6 linked regions of the Tribolium castaneum genome follow. The protein of the gene in region 5 interacts with the protein of the main gene of each other region in a pairwise test. Links are inferred from orthologs where the notes say so. Each region holds a gene or a part of one and is shown on either strand. Other genes may lie near its edges. The genes, in order: methyltransferase-like protein 17, mitochondrial; Tip60; Bx42; leukocyte receptor cluster member 1 homolog; sip1; bys.

The links.
Region 1: the proteins of sip1 (region 5) and methyltransferase-like protein 17, mitochondrial interact in binary tests that used the Homo sapiens proteins (3 or more experiments, as listed by UniProt). The link is inferred for Tribolium castaneum from reciprocal best matches to the Homo sapiens genes TFIP11 and METTL17.
Region 2: the proteins of sip1 (region 5) and Tip60 interact in binary tests that used the Homo sapiens proteins (3 or more experiments, as listed by UniProt). The link is inferred for Tribolium castaneum from reciprocal best matches to the Homo sapiens genes TFIP11 and KAT5.
Region 3: the proteins of sip1 (region 5) and Bx42 interact in binary tests that used the Homo sapiens proteins (3 or more experiments, as listed by UniProt). The link is inferred for Tribolium castaneum from reciprocal best matches to the Homo sapiens genes TFIP11 and SNW1.
Region 4: the proteins of sip1 (region 5) and leukocyte receptor cluster member 1 homolog interact in binary tests that used the Homo sapiens proteins (3 or more experiments, as listed by UniProt). The link is inferred for Tribolium castaneum from reciprocal best matches to the Homo sapiens genes TFIP11 and LENG1.
Region 6: the proteins of sip1 (region 5) and bys interact in binary tests that used the Homo sapiens proteins (3 or more experiments, as listed by UniProt). The link is inferred for Tribolium castaneum from reciprocal best matches to the Homo sapiens genes TFIP11 and BYSL.

What each region holds. Positions count from the first base shown.
Region 1 is NC_087394.1:11,231,872-11,234,742, reverse strand, and holds the end of methyltransferase-like protein 17, mitochondrial, read left to right. Parts: intron 1-1,245; coding exon 1,246-1,408; intron 1,409-1,456; coding exon 1,457-1,600; intron 1,601-1,653; coding exon 1,654-1,713; intron 1,714-1,761; coding exon 1,762-1,903; intron 1,904-1,953; coding exon 1,954-2,198; 3' UTR 2,199-2,338; downstream 2,339-2,871. Other genes in the region: uncharacterized protein LOC135265467, read right to left, coding at 2,396-2,679. UniProt on the Homo sapiens protein: Mitochondrial ribosome (mitoribosome) assembly factor. Binds at the interface of the head and body domains of the mitochondrial small ribosomal subunit (mt-SSU), occluding the mRNA channel and preventing compaction of the head domain towards the body.
Region 2 is NC_087402.1:5,803,551-5,807,443, forward strand, and holds Tip60 (histone acetyltransferase Tip60), read left to right. Parts: upstream 1-1,293; 5' UTR 1,294-1,688; coding exon 1,689-1,739; intron 1,740-1,794; coding exon 1,795-1,852; intron 1,853-1,902; coding exon 1,903-1,971; intron 1,972-2,020; coding exon 2,021-2,854; intron 2,855-2,904; coding exon 2,905-3,067; intron 3,068-3,128; coding exon 3,129-3,345; 3' UTR 3,346-3,366; downstream 3,367-3,893. UniProt on the Homo sapiens protein: Catalytic subunit of the NuA4 histone acetyltransferase complex, a multiprotein complex involved in transcriptional activation of select genes principally by acetylation of nucleosomal histones H2A and H4.
Region 3 is NC_087397.1:9,848,785-9,852,855, reverse strand, and holds Bx42 (puff-specific protein Bx42), read left to right. Parts: upstream 1-1,395; 5' UTR 1,396-1,703; coding exon 1,704-1,717; intron 1,718-1,769; coding exon 1,770-1,933; intron 1,934-2,076; coding exon 2,077-3,500; 3' UTR 3,501-3,548; downstream 3,549-4,071. Other genes in the region: qm (terpene synthase), read left to right, coding at 1-189; ATP-binding cassette sub-family F member 1, read right to left, coding at 3,559-3,709, 3,978-4,071. UniProt on the Homo sapiens protein: Involved in pre-mRNA splicing as component of the spliceosome. As a component of the minor spliceosome, involved in the splicing of U12-type introns in pre-mRNAs.
Region 4 is NC_087394.1:36,567,311-36,570,124, forward strand, and holds leukocyte receptor cluster member 1 homolog, read left to right. Parts: upstream 1-1,243; 5' UTR 1,244-1,348; coding exon 1,349-1,371; intron 1,372-1,417; coding exon 1,418-2,297; 3' UTR 2,298-2,313; downstream 2,314-2,814. Other genes in the region: oocyte zinc finger protein XlCOF6, read right to left, coding at 1-94; FAD-linked sulfhydryl oxidase ALR, read right to left, coding at 565-727, 773-984, 1,036-1,146; Usp39 (ubiquitin carboxyl-terminal hydrolase 39), read right to left, coding at 2,598-2,814.
Region 5 is NC_087402.1:11,591,446-11,594,978, reverse strand, and holds part of sip1 (sip1/TFIP11 interacting protein), read right to left. Parts: intron 3,180-3,533; coding exon 2,920-3,179; intron 2,747-2,919; coding exon 2,328-2,746; intron 2,276-2,327; coding exon 2,069-2,275; intron 1-2,068. UniProt on the Homo sapiens protein: Involved in pre-mRNA splicing, specifically in spliceosome disassembly during late-stage splicing events. Intron turnover seems to proceed through reactions in two lariat-intron associated complexes termed Intron Large (IL) and Intron Small (IS).
Region 6 is NC_087398.1:4,030,325-4,033,722, forward strand, and holds bys (bystin), read left to right. Parts: upstream 1-1,348; 5' UTR 1,349-1,434; coding exon 1,435-1,569; intron 1,570-1,614; coding exon 1,615-2,086; intron 2,087-2,131; coding exon 2,132-2,790; 3' UTR 2,791-2,877; downstream 2,878-3,398. Other genes in the region: kto (mediator of RNA polymerase II transcription subunit 12), read right to left, coding at 1-241, 295-844; Tango11 (transport and Golgi organization protein 11), read right to left, coding at 2,950-3,386. UniProt on the Homo sapiens protein: Required for processing of 20S pre-rRNA precursor and biogenesis of 40S ribosomal subunits. May be required for trophinin-dependent regulation of cell adhesion during implantation of human embryos.

The sequences.
Region 1 (2,871 bases), on a different chromosome or scaffold from region 5:
TTGGGTAGTAATAAACGATCAGCAATAAATTCGATTTTGATCAGTAAAGAATAATAAATGATCAGTATTTAATACTTATATTATTTTATAAAACTTCTCGGTTTTTTAATAATAAGAAAATAATAAAAAAGTTGTTTGGTTAGAGTTATTAAAAATCTTTGTTTCATTTCTTTAGATTTTATTAGGAGATAAAATTATTATAAAAAAATGTTTTTTAAAAGACGAGGTTTTTTCGTTTCCTGAAAAATTAATTAACTAGTCCTCAATTTTTTTACAAAACAAGGTCTGGTATCTGTCGTTAATTCGTGAAAGCTTATCTGTACTTGAATTTTCAGATTTTTTCTGTTTTCGTTTTTATTAGAATCGCATTCTATTTGCTTTGAATTTCACACAACAGATAGTATATTTAAAGAATTTAAAAAGATCGCATTTAATTTATTTAATTACCATTTTTCGAAATAATCTTTTTGTGACGTTTTTATTTTGAATTAAAATGAAAAATATTTGTTAAAATTCATAAAGCGTATTTACCGCGATTATATAATATTTACCTTGACATTTATCAATAAAAATAAATGAAGTTTTGGTGAAAAGGTGGTAGATCGAATATTAGCCATATTTCAGATTGATTTGTGATTCAAAATCTGCTCATTCTAAATTTTTCTCAGAATGAAAGACACATCAAAGGAAAAGAGAATTTATAGCACAGTTGGGTTTAAAATTTGGATTCTGTTTGAAAAAAATGCTACTTTTACAATTACAAATATTTTTTAAGCCTCAAATACAAATTAGGTCATTGTTTTCACAAACGAATTTAGAATACCAAAAAATCTTAAGTAACTAATACTTTAATACTTTAATTTAATAGCCTAAAACGGAACCAAACTGGACCAAGATGTTATTGCACCAAATTTTATAATATGTTGCCAACTAATTTTTGTAATTTATGTTTTTAAAAGAAAGTTAAAAGATTTTTTAATTGTGAACTTTGTCTATGACTTTGATGAATATTTTCGTTGCAATTTCAGTGACTTTTAGATTTTTTTTAGTTTGTACGTTTCTTATTTTATTGACTTGTGTTATGTTTTAAACACCAATAAAACTATTTCTATTTCTATTTTTAATACTTACAATACACTCTCTTTCGTGTAAAAAAGTCGAAAAAAGGGGGCTGGGTTAACGTTATTATATGAAACTTAAAATTTGATTATCAATAATTAACTACTAGATTGTCCATTTTTTAAGGGCGGCGAATTTATATTGGAAGAAACACATTTTCGAATACTTCAACGTGGACTCATCCAGAGACATGAACGACTTAGCCCAAATCCTACTCCAAGACGGAAAAGGCACAAACAAAATGTCTCTACGGGGTGTTTTTTATCGCCAGTTTTTGCCCGCAACTAATGTTTGTAATTTTATTTACCATAACAGCAATTTGAAATAATTCTTCCAGACAACCTACGATTTAGTCGTCTGTGCTTACACATTACTGGAACTACCATCACGACAGGCCCGATTAGACACAATTTTAAATTTATGGAACAAAACACAAAAATATCTTGTTGTAGTCGACCATGGCACAAATGCCGGATTTCAAGTAAATTTTTATTAAAAATTTATTTCATTTAAAAAAATACACTACGATTTTAGGTGGTTAACGAAATCAGAGATTTTATTCTTCACACAAAAGTTGGACACGTCTTCAGTCCAGTAGGTTTTTATTTTCGGTTATTTACGTGATAATTTTGAAAATTTCAGTGTCCACATGACGAAGTTTGTCCGAGATTTGCCCAAAACGATGGCACTCCTTGCAATTTTGAAACATTTTATTTCAGCTTACCAGTAGGAGCTGTTAGTTTAAGGAAATCGGAAAAATATTCATACGTTGTTTTAAAGAAAGGTATTTCGCAAAAAAATATTTTTTTCACGATGGTTTTATTTATTTTATAGGAGAAAGGGACCCTTTGGACCCTCAATGGCCACGAATTATTAGAAACACTTTAGTTAGGTCAAAACATACGATTTGTAGAATGTGTACCAAAAATGCAAATTTGGACGAAGTCATTTTTACAGCCTCAAAACATGGAAAAAACTTATTTTATTGTGCGAGAGCTGCAAAGTGGGGTGATTTGCTCCCAGTTTCGCTCGAGAAACAAGCCAAAGAAGAGGAAGACAATGAAGAAGAGGCGAGGTAACAGGTACGTCACTTGCGCCAACAATAAACGAAAATAAATTTATTTGTAAATGTTTTAATTACAAAACTAAAACTGCAGATTGTCTTATGAATCTTAAGATATTGTAATTTACCACATATTACACTTTTATTTGATTATTATGTCAACACAATTTTGTTTAATCCTCTAAAACTTAACTAATAACACAACATAATGAACTAATTTCGTGTATGAAAAACTCCATCTCCTTGCTTTCCTAAATACATCGACCAACTTTGCTCGTCCTGAGGCAAGAATTTGGCACATCGTTCGTCAGCTTTCTTAACGTCACACACGCATTCTATTCTCACTCGATAGACGGTCATTTGACCGAGACTGAGTTCGAGAATTCGGTTAAATTCGACAAATTGCTGCTTTAGACTTTCTTGTTCGGTGCGGCATTCGTTTATGTACAACTCCTTTTGCTCTTTTTCGGTGTTTTTCGTGTAGGTATGGCCTTGGTCTGTAACGAAATAAAAAAGTGGTTATGGCTTTGCGGAAGAGGAAAAAATTGCAAACTTGTACTAATTTGTGCAAAATCTTATAGTGCAACAAAATATTTGATTTGTGCAAGAAAAGTATCACTTTTTACAGCTTATGTCTCCGTATGGGACTTAATAAAGAAACATTGAGTAGGTTTCTTTGAATGAAACAC
Region 2 (3,893 bases), about 5.8 Mb from region 5:
TTGAACGAAACGGCACAATACACAATAATTTAAATAAACCGCCTCACCTCACCTCGCTTCGCTTCGCCCCGCCTCCCGGTCCCGCTCCCGATCTGACCCGTGCCGCTGCTCGCTGTCGACTGAAGCGCTCTCGCCGCCTGCGCCGCACACCTAACCTCGGGACACGTCACGGATGTGACGTCACACAAGTCTAAAACAGGTCATTACCAGAAATATTCACTGTCAAAATCCGTCAAATTTAGTAACATTCATACACAGAATTATTCAAAATAGAACAGCATTGATCTAGAAAAATTAATTATGACAAATGTATTTGCCTATAAACGTCTAAAATTATAAAAGTTTCGCATGCAGTCAATGGAAAAATAAAAATGCATATTTTTATTTAAACAGAAACTGGCAATGTGAAATTTTGGTGCGAAAAGTTTTATCACACGAGCCGACAATTCTTTCAGACTAGCCGTGTTATGTGTTATGTTGCTCACAAAACGGACAACAAGGGGGTTATCACGGAGACTCAGCTGTGACGAACGAATTTTATTTTTACATAAAGGTGATTTATTTGTTACCTCAGTCAAATTTTTCAGCGCGATTATTTCAGGCGGCAAAGTGCGCAATTTGTTTTTGTGCAACTGGAGCGACTTCAAGTTGTGCAAATTGGCGATATTTGACGGCAAACTCTCGATTAAGTTATCGCAAAGCACCAAAGCCTGCAGTTGCTTCAGTTGGCCTAGAGTTGAAGGAACTTCCACTAATTGATTGCCACCCATCGACAAGATTTGAAGGCTGCAATCATTATCACGTGTGGTCGTTTTAATCGTCCCCACTTACCAGTTTAATTTCTTTATGTTTTTCGGTATTGTTTTAATTTTATTCCCTCTTAGGTACAGGTACTTTAAATTAGTAAACTCAAACAGTTGTTCGGGAACTGTTCGAAAACATTCCCGCTCAGGTTTAACTCCTGCATGCTCGCACTCTCAGCGAAACTTTTCGGGAGGGATTCGTTACTGAAGCGATTATTTTTCGCAACCAGTGTTGTTAAATGCCAGTACTCGAAAACATCAGGTAAGGTCATAAGGCCGTTGTTGCTGATATGGAGGACTTGGACGTTTGTGACTTTTGACAAGTTTTTGGGGAGCGTTGTGAGTTGGTTGTGGTGCAAAATAATCGACTCTATGTCTTCTCGTTTTGCACAGTCCTTGCCTAGTTCGTCCAAATTTTCTTCGAGTTGTTGCGAATCCAAGAGCAAATAGGCGAAACTCCGTTTGAACTGTGGGCTGCGATTAGGAGAACGCTGCGTTCAAGCGAAGCTAAGGTCAAACGTGTTATCACCAATTTGTGAACAAAGCTTGGTGAGGCGTTAATTTAACAATGAGTCTGAGAATGGAATTGTGTGATTTTATCGAGTGTGCTGGTTTCGGGGGAAACCCCCGAGCAACACCCTACGCCCATGACTAGATAATGATAATTTATTAAATAGTAGACACTTGTGTGTATTGTTTCGGTTCGCCGAATGTGCATATACAGATAAGTCGCATCAAAACATTATTTTGGATAACAATTATGCAATGGAAAAAAATCGTTATGGATATTGCGCATTATGTTTTTTGCGGTAGTTGTGGTGGTGAGGTTTGTTCGGCAATAATTACAATTTTTCCCCCCGAAATTGTGAAAAACAAGCAGAATCGATGAAAGTGGAAATGGAGGAAATCGACGACAGCACAATTTGTGATTCTGTGGTATATTTTCATTAAAAATTGCAAAACCAAAATGTTGACACAACCTCACTTTTAGAATTCGTTAGTGGAAGGATGCAGGCTCCCGGTTCACATGACCGGCACTTCCGACTGGCGTAAGCCCCACTTTGGCACATTTTGCACGTTTTTATGTTTTAAATTGCAGCTTTGGCCGAAATTATCAGTATTAAGGACGTGCAAGGCTCGAAATTGTACTACGTCCATTACGTTGATTGTAAGATTGGACACCCGTTTCGTTCCTTGTGAACTAACTTGGGTTTTAGTTAACAAGCGTTTGGACGAATGGGTGACCGAAGAATCGCTCGACACTCGTAAAGTCCACTTCCCGAGACGTGACGGCGGGAGTAACACTGGAGTCTCAACTCCGAAAAAAATTCACATTGGGGGCGGTGGTGCCATCGGTTCGGTATCAAGGCCCTCGAGCCCTGTGACAGCTGCCTCCGAACTTGTCAACGGCAGTGCTGTCCTAGCAGCAGCGTTGCAAAAACGCATAAATAGGAAACGAAAAGGGCCGTCTCTTGAGAGCGAAGACTCGCAAGATGGGCCCACACAGATGCCCCCAGGGCCGAGGCAGTCTGGGAGCATGGTGTCGCACCATGACGATGTGGTCACCAGGATGAAGAACATCGATATGATCGAGTTAGGGAAACACAGGATAAAGCCGTGGTATTTTGCGCCATATCCGCAAGAAATGGTCAACTTGAGCTGTATATACATCTGCGAGTTTTGCCTCAAGTACCGAAAGAGCAGGAAGTGTCTAGAACGCCACTTGGTCAAATGTAATTTGAGACACCCGCCCGGAAATGAGATTTATCGCAAGGAAAACGTCTCGTTTTTTGAAATTGACGGGCGGAAAAATAAAGTCTACGCCCAGAATTTGTGTTTGTTGGCGAAGCTGTTCCTCGATCATAAAACACTGTATTACGACACGGACCCGTTTTTGTTTTACGTAATGACCATTTTTGATAATAGAGGGTTTCACATTGTTGGCTATTTTTCGAAAGAGAAGGAATCAACGGAAGATTTTAACGTCGCGTGTATTTTAACCATGCCTCCGTATCAGCGAAAGGGTTACGGAAAATTACTAATCGAATTTAGTGAGTTTGAGTGCGAATTTTTGTTGTCGAAATTTCACGAATTGTTTCAGGTTATGAATTATCAAAGTTCGAAGGTAAAACGGGTTCTCCCGAAAAACCTCTCTCCGATTTGGGTTTGCTTTCGTATAGGAGTTACTGGGCACAAGCTATTTTAGAAATCTTAATATCAATGAAGCCAGTGGGTGATAACGAGAAGCCACAAATAACGATCAAGTAAGTATTTTTGATTATTTCTTTATTTTTCGTAATTGTGAAATGTTTGTTCACTTTAAAGTGAAATTTGTGAGTTGACAAGTATTAAAAAAGAAGACGTCATCTCAACTTTACAAAACTTAAACTTAATCAATTATTACAAAGGCCAGTATATTATAACGTTAAATCAGGAAATTATGCAAAGTCACAAAAAAGCCATGGATAGTAGACTTATCCGAATCGACCCCAAGTGTCTGCATTGGACACCTAAAGATTGGGGCAAACGCGCCAAGTGGTAGATCAATAAATGATTTTTTACATTTTCTCTTTTATTAACATATTCCTCTGCCAATCCACACTGTTCCTCCTCACTTAATAATAGTAACACTGCGAACTTGTGTTTTGACGGAGAAACATGGAGAAAACACCGGGTTCAGTAGTACATTTTTTACGAAAATGCATTTTGTTTGTATTTACTGGCACATTTTACGTCCAAGATATTATTAAGTCGAAAGTGGTATTATTTTTGCGTTTACGCATATTTTTTATTTAGAAACTCACTAGTTTCGCAATTGTCAGATTTTACTCTGAAAATCGTCGAATTATTTTTATTAAAGCGAAGTGTGAGTTAAAGTGGACTACTTTTCAAACGTTTTAGTCGTTTTTCATCACCTTGTGAATTTTGAAATCAATGAACTTGCGATTGCAAAACTAATCTTCAATTAATAAAAAAATGAAACGTTTTCCGTTGTTTATTCGTACGTTTTATTGTGTAATATTTTGTTTTGGGTTTGTTTATAATACTGATGGGAGAGGATGTGGGTTAATCAAAGACTCTCATGTCACA
Region 3 (4,071 bases), on a different chromosome or scaffold from region 5:
TTAAGGCAAAGAACTAAAGACAATGAAGTAAAGAAATACTGCGTTTCGTTGCTTGAGAAATACGGAAGTTTTGATTACACGAAGAAAGTGTTGGCAGAACTGAAGCAAGAGGCCCAAGATGAAGTTGATAAGTTGGGGGAAAACCCGTACATGGCCGAAGTAATGGAGTATATTTTTAAGTTGGAATAATTTTTTCATGATCAAATTAAATTATTGTGATATCTATATTAAGTTGCTACAATAAACACTATTTCATCGATTGTTCCTTTTTTTTGTTATTATGGAGCAAACAGACACCGTGTACTGTCTGTGCTAAGACTAATTTTCTTTCTCTGAGTACTGAATAGTTAGTCAAAAAACGTTACTAAAATTAGTACCGCACCTTACAATTTCTGCATAAGAATGCTTTATTTCACCTTTTGAAGCGTCAAAATGTTTAAATTAAAGCTATAATTAATACTCAACTAAAATGTGCACTTACCAAAGAAGGGTGGAAATATTCCTGCAAATGTTCCTCCTCTGAATAAGATTGTCTTTAAATAACGAGAAACAAACCCACTAACACCATAAATCCTTACTAATACACAAACTAAACACTAAAACAGCGTTAAACAAAAATAATGCTAAACTACAAAACATGACAGGTGCTAAAAGGCGCGCCGATATTGCAGCACTACCAACGTAACAGTGTAACAGAAGTACCAACACCAAAAAAGCGCGAATTTCAATAGTAAACAGCCTTCGGTTGAATATGTTTTAGTGTTTTTAGTTCAATTTAGTGCTAGACACAGTTCTACAGCGGTTAAAAATTACAGTGTGTTATGGTGTTAGTTCCAAAATTCAAATTTCACTTTAGTGCTCTAAGGCACTTATTTATATGTTGGAGAAGTACATTTTCAAAATTAGAAGTTCACAAACACCACCAATTATTGCCAATTATCAATGGCAACCGCACGATACATGAATGTTTTTCTAAATTTTTGGAAAAATATTAAAAAATTTATTGTTTTTTGTTTATTCTACGTAAGTAAAGGGTCTGCTTGTTGAAGTAACTAGTAGCTAAAAGTCTGTGAGTGGTTGTGCATCTTTTTTTTTGGGGATACCCTCACGTTAAAAATACAGACTGATCCAGAAATACTGAGTCTGTTGGCGACACTGGACTTAAATTTTTAAGGATACTAATGGAATACGCTTCCAGTTAACAACAATTTAACATTCTTGTGGGGTTGTACGTCAAATAGTTGTCAAGAAAAATCGAATTCGGTTGCAATGTTACAAATTACAAGCACAAACACTTTCAAATGTGTTGCCAACAGACTCAGTATTTCTGGATCAGTCTGTATTTTCGAACTTATAGAACTTCGGAACAAACAATCTATGCTCAACCGCGCCCTCTACAAATCATTCCGTCTATTTGACGTTTTAGTAGTGGCGTTAATTTGGGTGTATTTATAAAACAGAATTACACACAATAATCCATTACTTAGTTGCGTTTTTTAAGTACAAATTGCTTTGAATATCGCACAGCGATAATATAATATCAAGATTTTGCGGAAATTGTTTTCCCGAAAGCCACTGTTGTGCAATCGATTTTTACATATTTTCCGATTTACTAGTGAAGTAAAACAATAAAAACTTACATTAATGAGTGCAGTGTGAATATTTTACGCTATTGTCAAGTTTTTGCTGATTTAGGAAAAGAAATGGAATTATCCAGGTAACCTAACCTCACTTTTGGGCTTGTAGAGTAAGACGCATTTATTTTGTAGTTTATTGCCCGCCCCCATACAACCCGTATGGGATCGGGACGACGAGAGACGGCAACAGAATGCCACAACTCAACGTTCCACATCTGTTGTAACAGCCCAAAGCATTGCCCCACCGTATGGACAAAGAAGGGGTTGGGTCCCACGAGTCCACACCGACTATGGAGGTAATTAGCCACCGATTTTTTGTAATTAAATTTAACTACGATGGGACCAACTTTTTTGATTGGTCCTATTAAATTTTATTACAAATAATCAGTCAAGGACGTCGAAAAGTTTTCACTATCACTGATTTTATTGCAATTTATAGATGGAGGCGCATTTCCCGAAATCCACGTGGCCCAGTACCCTCTTGACATGGGGCGAAAGGGCAAAGAATCAACTTCAAACGCCTTGGCCGTCCAATTGGACGCAGAAGGCAAAGTCAAATACGACGTAATCGCACGTCAAGGCCACGGCAAAGACAAAATCGTCTATTCAAAACTCTCCGATTTGTTACCAGTTGAAGTAACCACAGAAAATGACCCAAGTCTTGCTAAACCATCTCAGGAGGAAATCGAAGATATCACAGAAAAAACCCGTCAAGCATTACAACGCCTAACAAATTCAAAAATCGCAGCTGCAATGCCAGTCAGATGTGCCGAAAAACAAGGCCCCGCTGAATTTATTCGTTACACCCCTTCACAACAAGGGGCCGCCTTCAACTCGGGTGCCAAACAGCGCGTCATTCGTTTGGTCGAAGCACAAGTTGATCCAATGGAGCCCCCACGTTTCAAGATCAATAAGAAGATCCCAAGGGGGCCCCCTTCGCCCCCAGCGCCCGTTTTGCACAGCCCCACACGTCGTGTCACTGTTAAGGAGCAAAAGGAGTGGAAAATCCCGCCCTGTATTTCAAATTGGAAAAATGCAAAGGGTTACACAGTTCCGTTAGATAAGCGTTTAGCTGCAGATGGTCGGGGGTTGCAACAGTTGCACATCAACGAGAATTTCGCAAAGTTGGCTGAGGCTCTATATATTGCCGATAGAAAAGCACGAGAGGCTGTGGAAACACGCGCCCAACTCGAGAAAAAACTAGCTCAGAAGGAAAAGGAACAAAAGGAGGAGCATTTGAGACAGTTGGCTCAAAAAGCTCGAGATGAACGTGCTGGGATCAAAGTCGCTGATGCTAAAATCACAGATGAGGAGGAACGTGAGAGAGAAATGCTGAGACAGGACCGGCATAAGGAGCGAGCAAGAGAGAGAAACTTGGCAAGGGCTGCTCCCGATAAGCGTTCAAAGTTGAAGAGGGAGCGAGAGCGAGATATTTCCGAGCAGATTGCTTTGGGGATGCCTGCCAGAGGAGTCTCCTCAAACGAGGTGCAGTTTGATCAGAGATTATTCGGACAGGCTCAAGGTTTGGGGCATGGATATGGGGACGATGACGCGTATAATGTTTATGATAAGCCGTGGAGGGAGGGGGGCTCAATGGCCAATCACTTGTACAGACCTAGTAGGAATGTGGATAAGGAGGTATACGGTGAAGATTTGGAGAAAATCGTCAAAACGAACCGATTTGTTCCGGATAAGGAGTTTAGTGGAACTGATCGGAATGCGCCAAGGTCTGGACCTGTACAATTTGAGAAAGAGGAAGATCCGTTCGGGTTAGATCAGTTCTTGAGTCAGGCTAAACGGGCGAGCAAACGCAAGGAACCGGAGAGGAGGGATGAGAGGGATAAGCGAAAGAGAAGAGATTAAAATATTGATTGTATTTGGGTTTTTTAAATAAATACAATTGTAGAAATTTTTTGTTGTATTATTGAGCAATGGCAGCGTTTGCTGCAATACTTGGGCTGTTGATGACTTCACCCAGACTCTCCAAGAGCTCTTTGCGGTAGTCGTCGAAGTCGCCGTCTAATTCGTTTATGGTCTGGTCTTCTATTACGTACAAGGCGCAATCAGTTTCACTGTAACAAAATTAGTAATTTTTTTTTACACAAAACAATAAAATTGAGTTTTATGGTCGAGCCGAAATTGTTACAAAAACTCGATGGAATTTCATCTTAATTTAAATTAACGAACAAATTAAGTAGCTAATGCAAATTAAAAATTAAATTCACTTCTAATAGTGCTGGTAAACGCATACTTCGCAGCCTGAAATTAGGACGAAAAATATAAAATTTCTATAAAGGGAGGCGAAAAAAGAAAAGAAAGAGTACATTTATTTGCTCTTACCGTATAAGTCGTTCGTCGTGGCTCACTATAATAACCCCTCCACTGAAGTCGTTAATGGCCTCAGCTAGTGCATCAATCGATTCAATATCTAAAT
Region 4 (2,814 bases), on a different chromosome or scaffold from region 5:
CATTGAGACCGTCCTCGCTACTGTGCAGGAGATAATTATGGGGGCCCTCATTAAACAATTTCAAATATGCCGTAGACTCATCCTCCGCGTCCATTACCCCCAAAAGTGTGGCAATTGATTATTTAACCATTTTTTAATCTGAAAAAAAATTCTAACCTCAAATTTTAAAATGGAGCTTATGCACCTAATAATTTAACCAAAAACAAACCCTTGTAATGTGTTATTCAATTGTGCCGAGTGATATTGACAGGAAAGTGGTTTATTTTCGAAAAAAATGCAATTTTTTGTGAAATGTCACGAGTGACATAACCTCACTTTGCCACAATTTGTTTTTTTTTCACAATTTTCAATACGAAATTTGATAGAAAAAGGAATGGAGGTAATAAATTTACCGTGTGTATCGTTTTTTTAGCCCAAAAAGTTAGAAAAACCGTGAAATTTGAAAACTGGGCAACACTTTAAGGTTAGGTGTTTTTGTATGCGCATGCGCATACGTGGGGTCACTTTGAAAAATGAAACACTTTTTTAATTACCTAATTTATTAACTACAAGCAAACACTTTGGTCAATCACAAGAGCCGTCGGCCCACCCGTCCCTCCATCTCTCGTTAACTTTGGAACAATCAAATTCAGGTTTACCTAACTTATTGTTAACTCTATTATGCAATCTACAAAGCCACTGACTTAGGTCTTCCTGAGAGGCGATTTGAGGTGGATCTGCCTTCAGCCTGGAAGAAATCATTTAAAATTTAATAATTAAACACTGTAATTACTCTTTGCGCAAATCTTCGGCACAAAAATCACAGGGATAAAACTTGGAAAATAACGTAAAAAAACTAGTCATGTCTTTCTGTTCGGTCCTGGTGGGGTTTTCGGGGTATTTCGCTGCAATAGTGTGAAGGAGCCCCCACGAACTACGTCCCAACTCATCCTTATCCAGGGGACAATCGGTCCGGAATGTCCCCGAGCCAGTGGTCGAAGACACCTACAAATCGTGTGACTTTAACCAGGTTTTACCAAAATAAGGGGGCCCCACTTCTCCGGAACTTTCTTCATAAGCCTGGCGTCGTGCGATTTTCGCGTAGTCCGAGAAACTTGTACACTGGCGACACTTTTCGGTATCGAGGGGCGAAGGCCGGCGCGACATCACGGCAAATGCATTATTAAACGAATAAATGCAACTTTGGAAATTGTTGGTTAAGTTTGTGCAAAAATGTAAATGACTGTCAAAATTGACAGGTAGAAAGAAACACAAGATAGGATTTTCCCTGAGTTGGAAAAGGATGACGATAAGTGTCACCTTGACGTTTGACACTTGAATGACAGTAATGTTGTAAATAGTTAAAGGGATGAATATTCTTCCAAAGAAAAGGTTGGTTGTTTGATTTAGGCACAGTCAGGTCCAATGTTGTGTTTAGGTGGCATGTGCGCTCCAAAGACAACATCGCCCGGGTTCGCAGGGACGAGGCCAAGGCGGCTGAGGAGGAAAAAGCCCGCAAAGATCGGGCAAAATTGGCCGAACGCGAGGCCAGAACTGAACTATTGAGGCAAAGGGCACGTGAACGTGTCCCCACGAATGATTTTATTCCCCTCAGTAAGGAAGAAGCGCCTGCTCAGACCAGTCATGTCAATTTTTTCCAAGAGGTTGAGGAAGGTATTGCTGACACTAAAACTACGAACAAAGAACACGAAAAGGAACAAAAGGAAGAGAAAGAAAAGTACGAGAAACAAATCGGTTACTTGACTTATCTGGGGCAGGACACTAACGAGGCTTTAGGGAAGAAAAATTGGTATGACGAGCTACCAGACAGGTTCAGGAATGATAAAACCGAAGTGGGGCTTAAAAGTAAACTTCGGGAAGATCCCTTAAGTGTGATGAAGAAATTTCTGGGGGATTCTGGTGTGGGTGTGAAGAAGAGTGAAGAGCCGGTGCATAAAGCCGTAGCCTTGACGCTCAAGACGATTGAGAAAAAGGCGAAAAAACGGGCAAGGAGTAGCAGTGAAGAGAGTAGAAAAAGTAAGAAGAAGCACAAAAAGAAGAAGAAGAAGCGGAAGAAACGCTCCAGTGGTGAGTCGGATTCGGAAGAAGAGAGAGTCGATTTTGAGAAGAAGCGGAAGTTGGAACTTTTGAGGATGGAAAGGTTGAAACGTGAGAGGGAAGAGAGAAAGAGAACTGAAGGGCTTTTGGCCAAATTACGCGGGGAAAAGACGGAGGAAGAAAAAGAGAAGCCTCAAACTGGGGGCAAAAAGTACAATAATCAGTTCAATCCAGAACTGGCAAGGCAGAATTATAAATAAAGATCTTAAAATCCAATTGCATTTCCTTATTTATTCACGAAATATTTTTTTAATCGAATAGTTTACCGAACTTATTTGAACAATGTCTCACAAAAAATTAATAATAAAGCATTCATCTTTTAAATATAACTAATCTGTATGTTCAAGAACTAAAGATTTGACTGATTTCTCAAAAGCTTTTTGACCAAATCAGGCCAAAAACAAACCGCTCTCTGGACTAAACGTTTCATTACAGAAAAAAATCAGGGAGGGACAAATAAAAGACAAAAATTCCGGTGATAGAATTTTATTCGTAAAAAATTACTTTTCTAATCTTAGCTCATAAATTTGTATATAAGCCTCCGTCAGCGTAATCATCTGCGGCAAAATATCCGTCACATGCAAGTCCTGCATCTCGTACCACTTGCCCGTTGATTTTTGCAAAATATGAACCCTGTAAGTGCCTTTCCCCGGCTCTCCATCATGCACAATATTCGCCACTAGATCATAGACCGTATGTTTATGTTTGGCCTTAACT
Region 5 (3,533 bases):
ACCTCACTGCGTACCGTAGAAAACTGGGAAAATATCTGGCTTTTATTTTAGAACTACATGTATTTTGTCCTAACAGGCCTTTAATTATGGATACTAATGACCTGCTAGGTAAATAATAACCATTTGCTAGGTAGAAATGCTTGGTATTGATATAAAATTTACTAGGTAAAATAATGATATGCTAGGTAATCTTTCGTGTTTAAATAATTGCCATTGATTAAACTATCAGTAGTAGTTACATTAATTTCACATTACACATTGGAACAAAATTTGGCTGTATAACTTTAAAACAAATCCCTGTTAACAGAAATCTTCATTTTTGTCAAAAGTTTGTTTCAAGTATCCATTAGATGCTTTTATTACCTTATTGGCAAATTGGATTTAGCTTTCTTAAATACAAGGTGTAAGCGAAGAAAGCACATTAATTTTAACGAGTGGCAAAACTCATCAAGACAAACACTTTTTCTATGTACCATTTTTGCAAAATCGCATTTTTTAAAATCATCTTTCCTCTTACAAATTGAAGAGCCTTTTATGAAATGTTCCAACAAAGAAAAGTAATAATATATTTTATTCATTTTCATGAACTTGCTTGGAAACGGTAATCTTGTTGACTAGATAACATTGCGTTCAGTGGCGTGTAAGAAAATTGTGTAAGACTTTAAAACAATTTTAAATTAAAAAACTAAAAGGTTTTGAAGAAAAGTTATTAGGGAAAATTGGTTTTGATTAATAATTAATGTATGTATTTCATATTCATTTACAGCCTGTATAGTTACAACAAAAGGAGTAACTATAGTTAAAAGTAGCACAGCATCTCGAAGACTTATCGTAGGTAGTCTTGTTGGTGTTTAAAAACTGTCATAAGTTCGTAACACAAGTCAATAAAATAAGAAACATACTAAAAATAAAACTTACAGCTTACTGAAAATATATAGCAGATAATTCACAATTAAAAACTCTTTAAGCTTCCTTGTAAAAATACATAAAGGTAATAAATTACAAAAACTAGTCAACATATAAAATTTAGTGCAATGGTATCTTAGTCCAGTTTGGTTTCATTTAAGACTACTGTCTTTTATGATAAGCTTGTTACTAGTACGAGTATTGTAAGTATGGTTTTCCGAATGATAACGAAAAGTTAATTATTAGAATTATTCGTCTCTGTAATGAGAACAATCGATGGCGACAAGAAGAATGGCCCCAAGTTAAAATACTATACGAAAGAAGTGACTGTTCAGGGACAAAGTATGGAACTTTAAGAGTTGATATTCTATTACCTAATTACTGTCTAAATAAAAACGTGTTACCTTGATGATCCCATTGAAGTTTGTTAATTGGTTGTCAAATCTTTGGTGAGAATCTTACTAAAGCAGTACTAATTTGACTTTTCTTTTAACTGGAACGTATTTTTTATGTACAATTTTAAATGAACTTGACAAACAAAACAAGGAAAAAACTGAACTTTAAGAATTCAAATTTTAGATTTAGTAAAAAATACAATTATAAAATTTAATTTTACCTTCTTTACGTTATAGCTTATTGCATTTGTTTTAAAGTATATTTAGGAGGGCCTGAGTGGAACGAATGCGTCCATTTCAATTATAAAAGACTATAAATACAGATAAATCCTAATTGAATTGTTAAAAAGGGTACGACTACTAGTGTAAAAAATTATAAGCAATTATCAATTTGCGTTCCGGGTTATATGTTATATTTCTGAAAATGCAGAGATATGGTTGAAAATACAAAAAAGTAAGTAATATAGTTATTGAAAATAAAATTTCTTACTTGTTTAATCTTCGGACACCGGGTCAACATAAATTTAATGTTGACTCTATACAAGGATCACTCAGAACAAAATTTTAAATTTCATCTTTACAGCTTTCGCTCTTTAACTCCAATTCGATTTATTTGCATTTGTAAAACCTTGTTGACATTGAAAAATGCCTCAACCCGGGAAGAAAGGTATCAACTTCCACATTGATTTTGTCAATTTTAACTCTTTGCGGATTCATTTAACGCCTGCATTTGTTTTACTACCTTAATTAATTAAAAATGATCGAACCTTTAATGGTGGGTTGTGCTAATAACTCGTCCGAAAGCATATTTTTCCAGCCCGTGTACCAATCAGTGACTTCTGCATAATTCGGGTTGTGATTCAACCACATGGCTAGAGTTTGTCGCCATCTGGGGAAGAAAAATTTATCTAAAATGAGTGTCATGTTCCCGACTGATAACATATCACTCCAATCCATGACCCAATACCATGCGTCTGAAATTAATTCGTTAATTTTTTGTGTTGCTAAAAACAGAACGGCACCAACCTAAATGTTGTTGATGTGGGTTTATAACTAAGTTTTGCATACAAAGCTGTAGCTTTGGTACAATGTGTTTGAGCAGGAATGCAACGAAGACGCCATCTGGTAGCACTCTTTGCCACGGTTTTAACATTGGCTTGGCTGATTTATCAGACGGGTGCCAGTTTGTTAAAGCCACACCGAGTTTTTCCTGAATTATTGGATAAATAATAGCTTGAAGTCTGGTATCGAGTAAAGGTATCCAGGGATGTATCCAGACATGAATTGGGATTGTGTCTGTCAGGGGATTCCAGATATTGACTTCAGCCTGGATTCGAGGCATGATAAGTTGGTCGTAAATGTTGTCCAATATCCACTGCGGCAATAACGGCATCCAGGTTTCAATCAGCGTTATCAGAGGATCACAATCTTTTGGATTCCAAGCACTGTAACGAAATCGATTCGACTTAGATTTATTCCCGACAAGTGTGCTTGTTTTGCTTTTTTTAATCAAAGTATGGTGAATATACAGCACACACGACCATAATACAAAATTCGTGTTATCATTAGAAACTTCCTAAAGTGACAACGAGTGTCGGAAAACAATAAAGTAACTTACCTAACACAAATTCGCATTACAGGCATCCAAGTGTGCCATAAGAGACTATCATATGGCTGAATTCCCATATTATTACCTTCTAGTGTCCCACGTTGTCTGGGCTTCTCCAGAATGTCCTTCCAACGGGCAAAAATTTCCATGTATTGCTTGGGATTGGTCAGTGGCGACCAACTGGCGAGGGCCGATGTCAAAAGAGGACCAACCAAACCAGGCGCCAATTCACCCAATTCGTACCTCACAAACTCCTCGTAGTGGTTCTCCTGAAAATGTATCCAAAAAATTAAAAAAATCAGCCATAAAGTGGTGACGTGAAATAACCAAAAAAGGCGATTACGTCGGTGCAAGCCGTAAAAAATTCAGAATAACTGCTAAATTAAGCGAAGGAACCTACAGGTGTTCCGTTTTTATTGTTACAAATTTAAACAGATGATAGAACATTTAATTTTAAGAGAAAAGTTTTTTATAAACATGTATCGAAAAATACTCCCTAAGGGAGCTACATCCCCTGAAAGGGATGCTTCTTTTAGAGAGTTTTTTTCAATATTTCAAAAACCATTAGAAATAAAGTTACAAAATTTAGAACGGATAATAATCTTTACACGCCTAATCGAATT
Region 6 (3,398 bases), on a different chromosome or scaffold from region 5:
TTTTCCAAAAGTTCGAGAATCCAGGTCAGGACTTCTTGCCTGTCCATGAGGCCCTCCTCATACATGTATTTGAGCAACTGTGTGCAGTAAATCCAATGACGCATTGCGAGTTTTTGCTCAGTTTCGGTGGTCGCAGCCTGGGTCAGAGAAGGGGTTTGAGGGGGCTTTTCACCTTGGGAGTAATAGTCTTGCAGTTTGAGGATTTGTTCTTTGAGGAATTTTAGCATCGTTCCGGTCCATTCTACAAGAAATTGTAGTTAAGTGTAAAGTTAATACAAGTAATAAAATAGAGACCTGTAGTCGGGTCTGGCATTTGCCGTTTTTTGATTTTGGCCTCGGACACGGCAACTGTGTAAGCCGAACTCAACTTGATAAACCAGGCGGCCCGCATCATAGGCACCTGATACTCGCACAGCATTATAAAAATCTCCTCTTTCTTGTTGAAATTGGGCGCTTTTTTCGACAAGTGCATCAATGGTTTGTTCCCAGCTAGATCCTTAAACCAGAGTTCTATGGCATTTTTTGTTCGTATTGTGGCGGGCCAGAAGTTGTCTTTGGGGTTGATTTGTTGCCGCTTCCTGCCGGAATCGGGCAACATGCTCAACTCCTCTTTGCGTTTGATAATGTCATTGAAATAATCCCCGACTTTGCTTGCCGAAATATTGCAGTTTCTGGCCGTTCCAAATTCGTCGCTTAAGTGGGTCATTGTCAGGAACCCATGTTTAACGTTGACACTCGTCAACTCGTCTTCTTTTTGCTTCGGTTCTTGCGGGTAAACGTCCGGAGGGCCGATTTTCGGCTTTTTCAAAGGTCGTTTTTCGTACAAAAGGCTGCTATTGAACATTTTGGCACAATTTGGGATTGCTATTATTTTGAACACTGACAAGGGGGCCTTTAGGCAGCTCCAATGTAACGCATCGCTACAATTTAATTAAAATCTCGACCCCGGGGGCTTCATTGCGGGGGAAAGTGCCAACACCTAAACGAGAGGATGGGAGCTAATATTTCAGTTTTTACACCGATTTAGACAAATAAAAAAACGACAAAGTATTGAACAAGCATTATGTAAGCTTAATTAGGAAAAAATGTAGTGATAAATTACCGTTTTGACGAAATAAACACACTTTTATGCACCAACAACACAAGTTTTGAAGATGGTGTCCTCCATCTTGACCTCTAGGGATAATAAAAAAATCCCTGCTAATTGCTTAATTTTATCGAATTTTAAACTAATAGCGCAATAGTTTAAAAAGCGAATTTTTAGAAAATTAATTTTGCAAAATATTTTACCCGATTTGACCCAATCTCGTACTTAATGCTGCTGTTTTCCAATTTAATTTTAAATTGCCAATGTCGCCAACCCAAACCTCTGACAAGTCCTTTTAGGTTACGTCCAGATAGTTTGAAGACACGTGTGGTAAACAAATAGGGATAATGGGCAAAGCAAAGCGCCTGAAGCCGTCTCAGATGGGCACCAAGGTGCCCCTGGACCAGGACATCGAGGACGCGAAGTTTGCCAAGTCGAAAAACCGCAACAAAATCCGTCTAAGACAAGACGACGATGAACAAGTTTGTATCGCTTTATGATTGTCTAAAACCAATAAAAAATTCCAGTTTGTGGACTCGAACCTCTCGCGGAAGATTCTCTCAGCCGCCCGAGAGCAGCAACGCGAGCTGGACTCAAGTTTCGGCCCCACGCCGTCCGAGGCAAGTTCAAGCAAGTTTAAAGTGTCCAAACTGGGGGACGATGACTCCGAACCGGAAGAGGAAGACACCCTCGAACCGGACACGTTTTACGAAAACATTGAAATCAATGAAGAGGATGAGAAAGCTTTAGAGAAGTTCATGAGTAGCAATCCGGCCCCGAGACGCACTTTGGGGGATATTTTGGCCGAGAAGTTTACCGAAGTTAAGACGCATTTTAGCGAGGAAGGCTCGGTCAAAATGCAGGAGTTGGACCCACGGGTGGAACAAATGTATCAAGGGGTGAGGGATGTTTTGCGGAAATATAGGAGCGGCAAGTTGCCGAAAGCGTTCAAAATCATCCCCAACTTGCGGAATTGGGAACAAATCTTATACATCACGGGTAATTAAAATCATTGTTGATGCCCAGCGGTTAATTAAGTTTTAGATCCGCCAAGTTGGTCAGCTGCTGCCATGTACCAAGCCACCCGTATTTTCGCCTCAAACCTCAAGGAAAAAATGGCTCAGAGGTTCTATAATTTGGTTTTGTTGCCCCGAATTCGCGACGACTTGGCCGAATACAAGCGACTCAATTTCCACTTATATCAAGCCTTGAGGAAAGCCCTGTTCAAACCTGGGGGCTTCATGAAGGGAATTCTCCTACCACTGCTTGAAAGTGGCGATTGTACGCTCAGGGAAGCTATTATAATAGGCTCAGTTGTCGCAAGAAACTCTATTCCTATTTTGCATTCTTCTGCCGCGATTTTGAAAATCGCGGAAATGGATTACACCGGCGCCAATTCGATTTTTTTGCGTATTTTCTTCGATAAAAGATACGCGTTGCCGTATCGTGTTGTGGACGCAGTTGTGTTCCACTTTTTGAGATTCGAGCGAGATTCCAGGGAATTACCCGTTTTGTGGCATCAGGCTTTCCTGACATTTGTACAAAGATACAAAGCTGATATTTCAAGCGAGCAAAGGGACAGTTTATTAGAATTATTAAAGAAGCAAAACCACCACGCTATCACACCAGAGATCAGAAGAGAAATTCAAAATGCGAAATGTCGAGACGCTGAAACCGCCGAACCAAAAATGGACTTTGACTAAATTAATGGTTACATAATTGTGATAATTATATTGAAAAAAATCGGTTACAACAAGACTATTAATAAAAACTTGGAAAAATTAGGAAAATTATGTTACTTAAACCAGAACTAATTAACGTCAATACGATTTGTTCCTAACTTAGGGATAAACTAGTGCTCCCTAATCTCTATTCATCCAAATAATGACTTTCAACAACAAATAAGCGACTCCAAAACCAACTAGAAACTTCTCCTTTTGGAGCCGGCTCAAGTTTTCTAATTCTAAGGCCATCACACGTCTGTTGAGCTTCGCCATTTGCCGCCTGAGGTGCAGCACCTCTTCGGCGGCCGTCAGCCTCTCGCCGCTGCCCCCGATCGGGGGCGTAGTCTCGCGTATCGTCAGATTCAAATCCGAATCATCAAACGCCTGTTTTTTCTTTGGTTTAACCACCGGAATCTGGTTCAGTTCCGGGTCCTCCATCTCCTCAAGAGTGGGAAAGGGGTACTTGTCCAGAGTCAAAGTCCTGGGCGGGGTCGCAACCCGCACATCCCCGGGGTACGGTTCTGGGGGAAGGATCGAGTTGTCAAAGACAATTTCGCGTGGGGGCGCCCTTGTCCCTAGAATCCTAG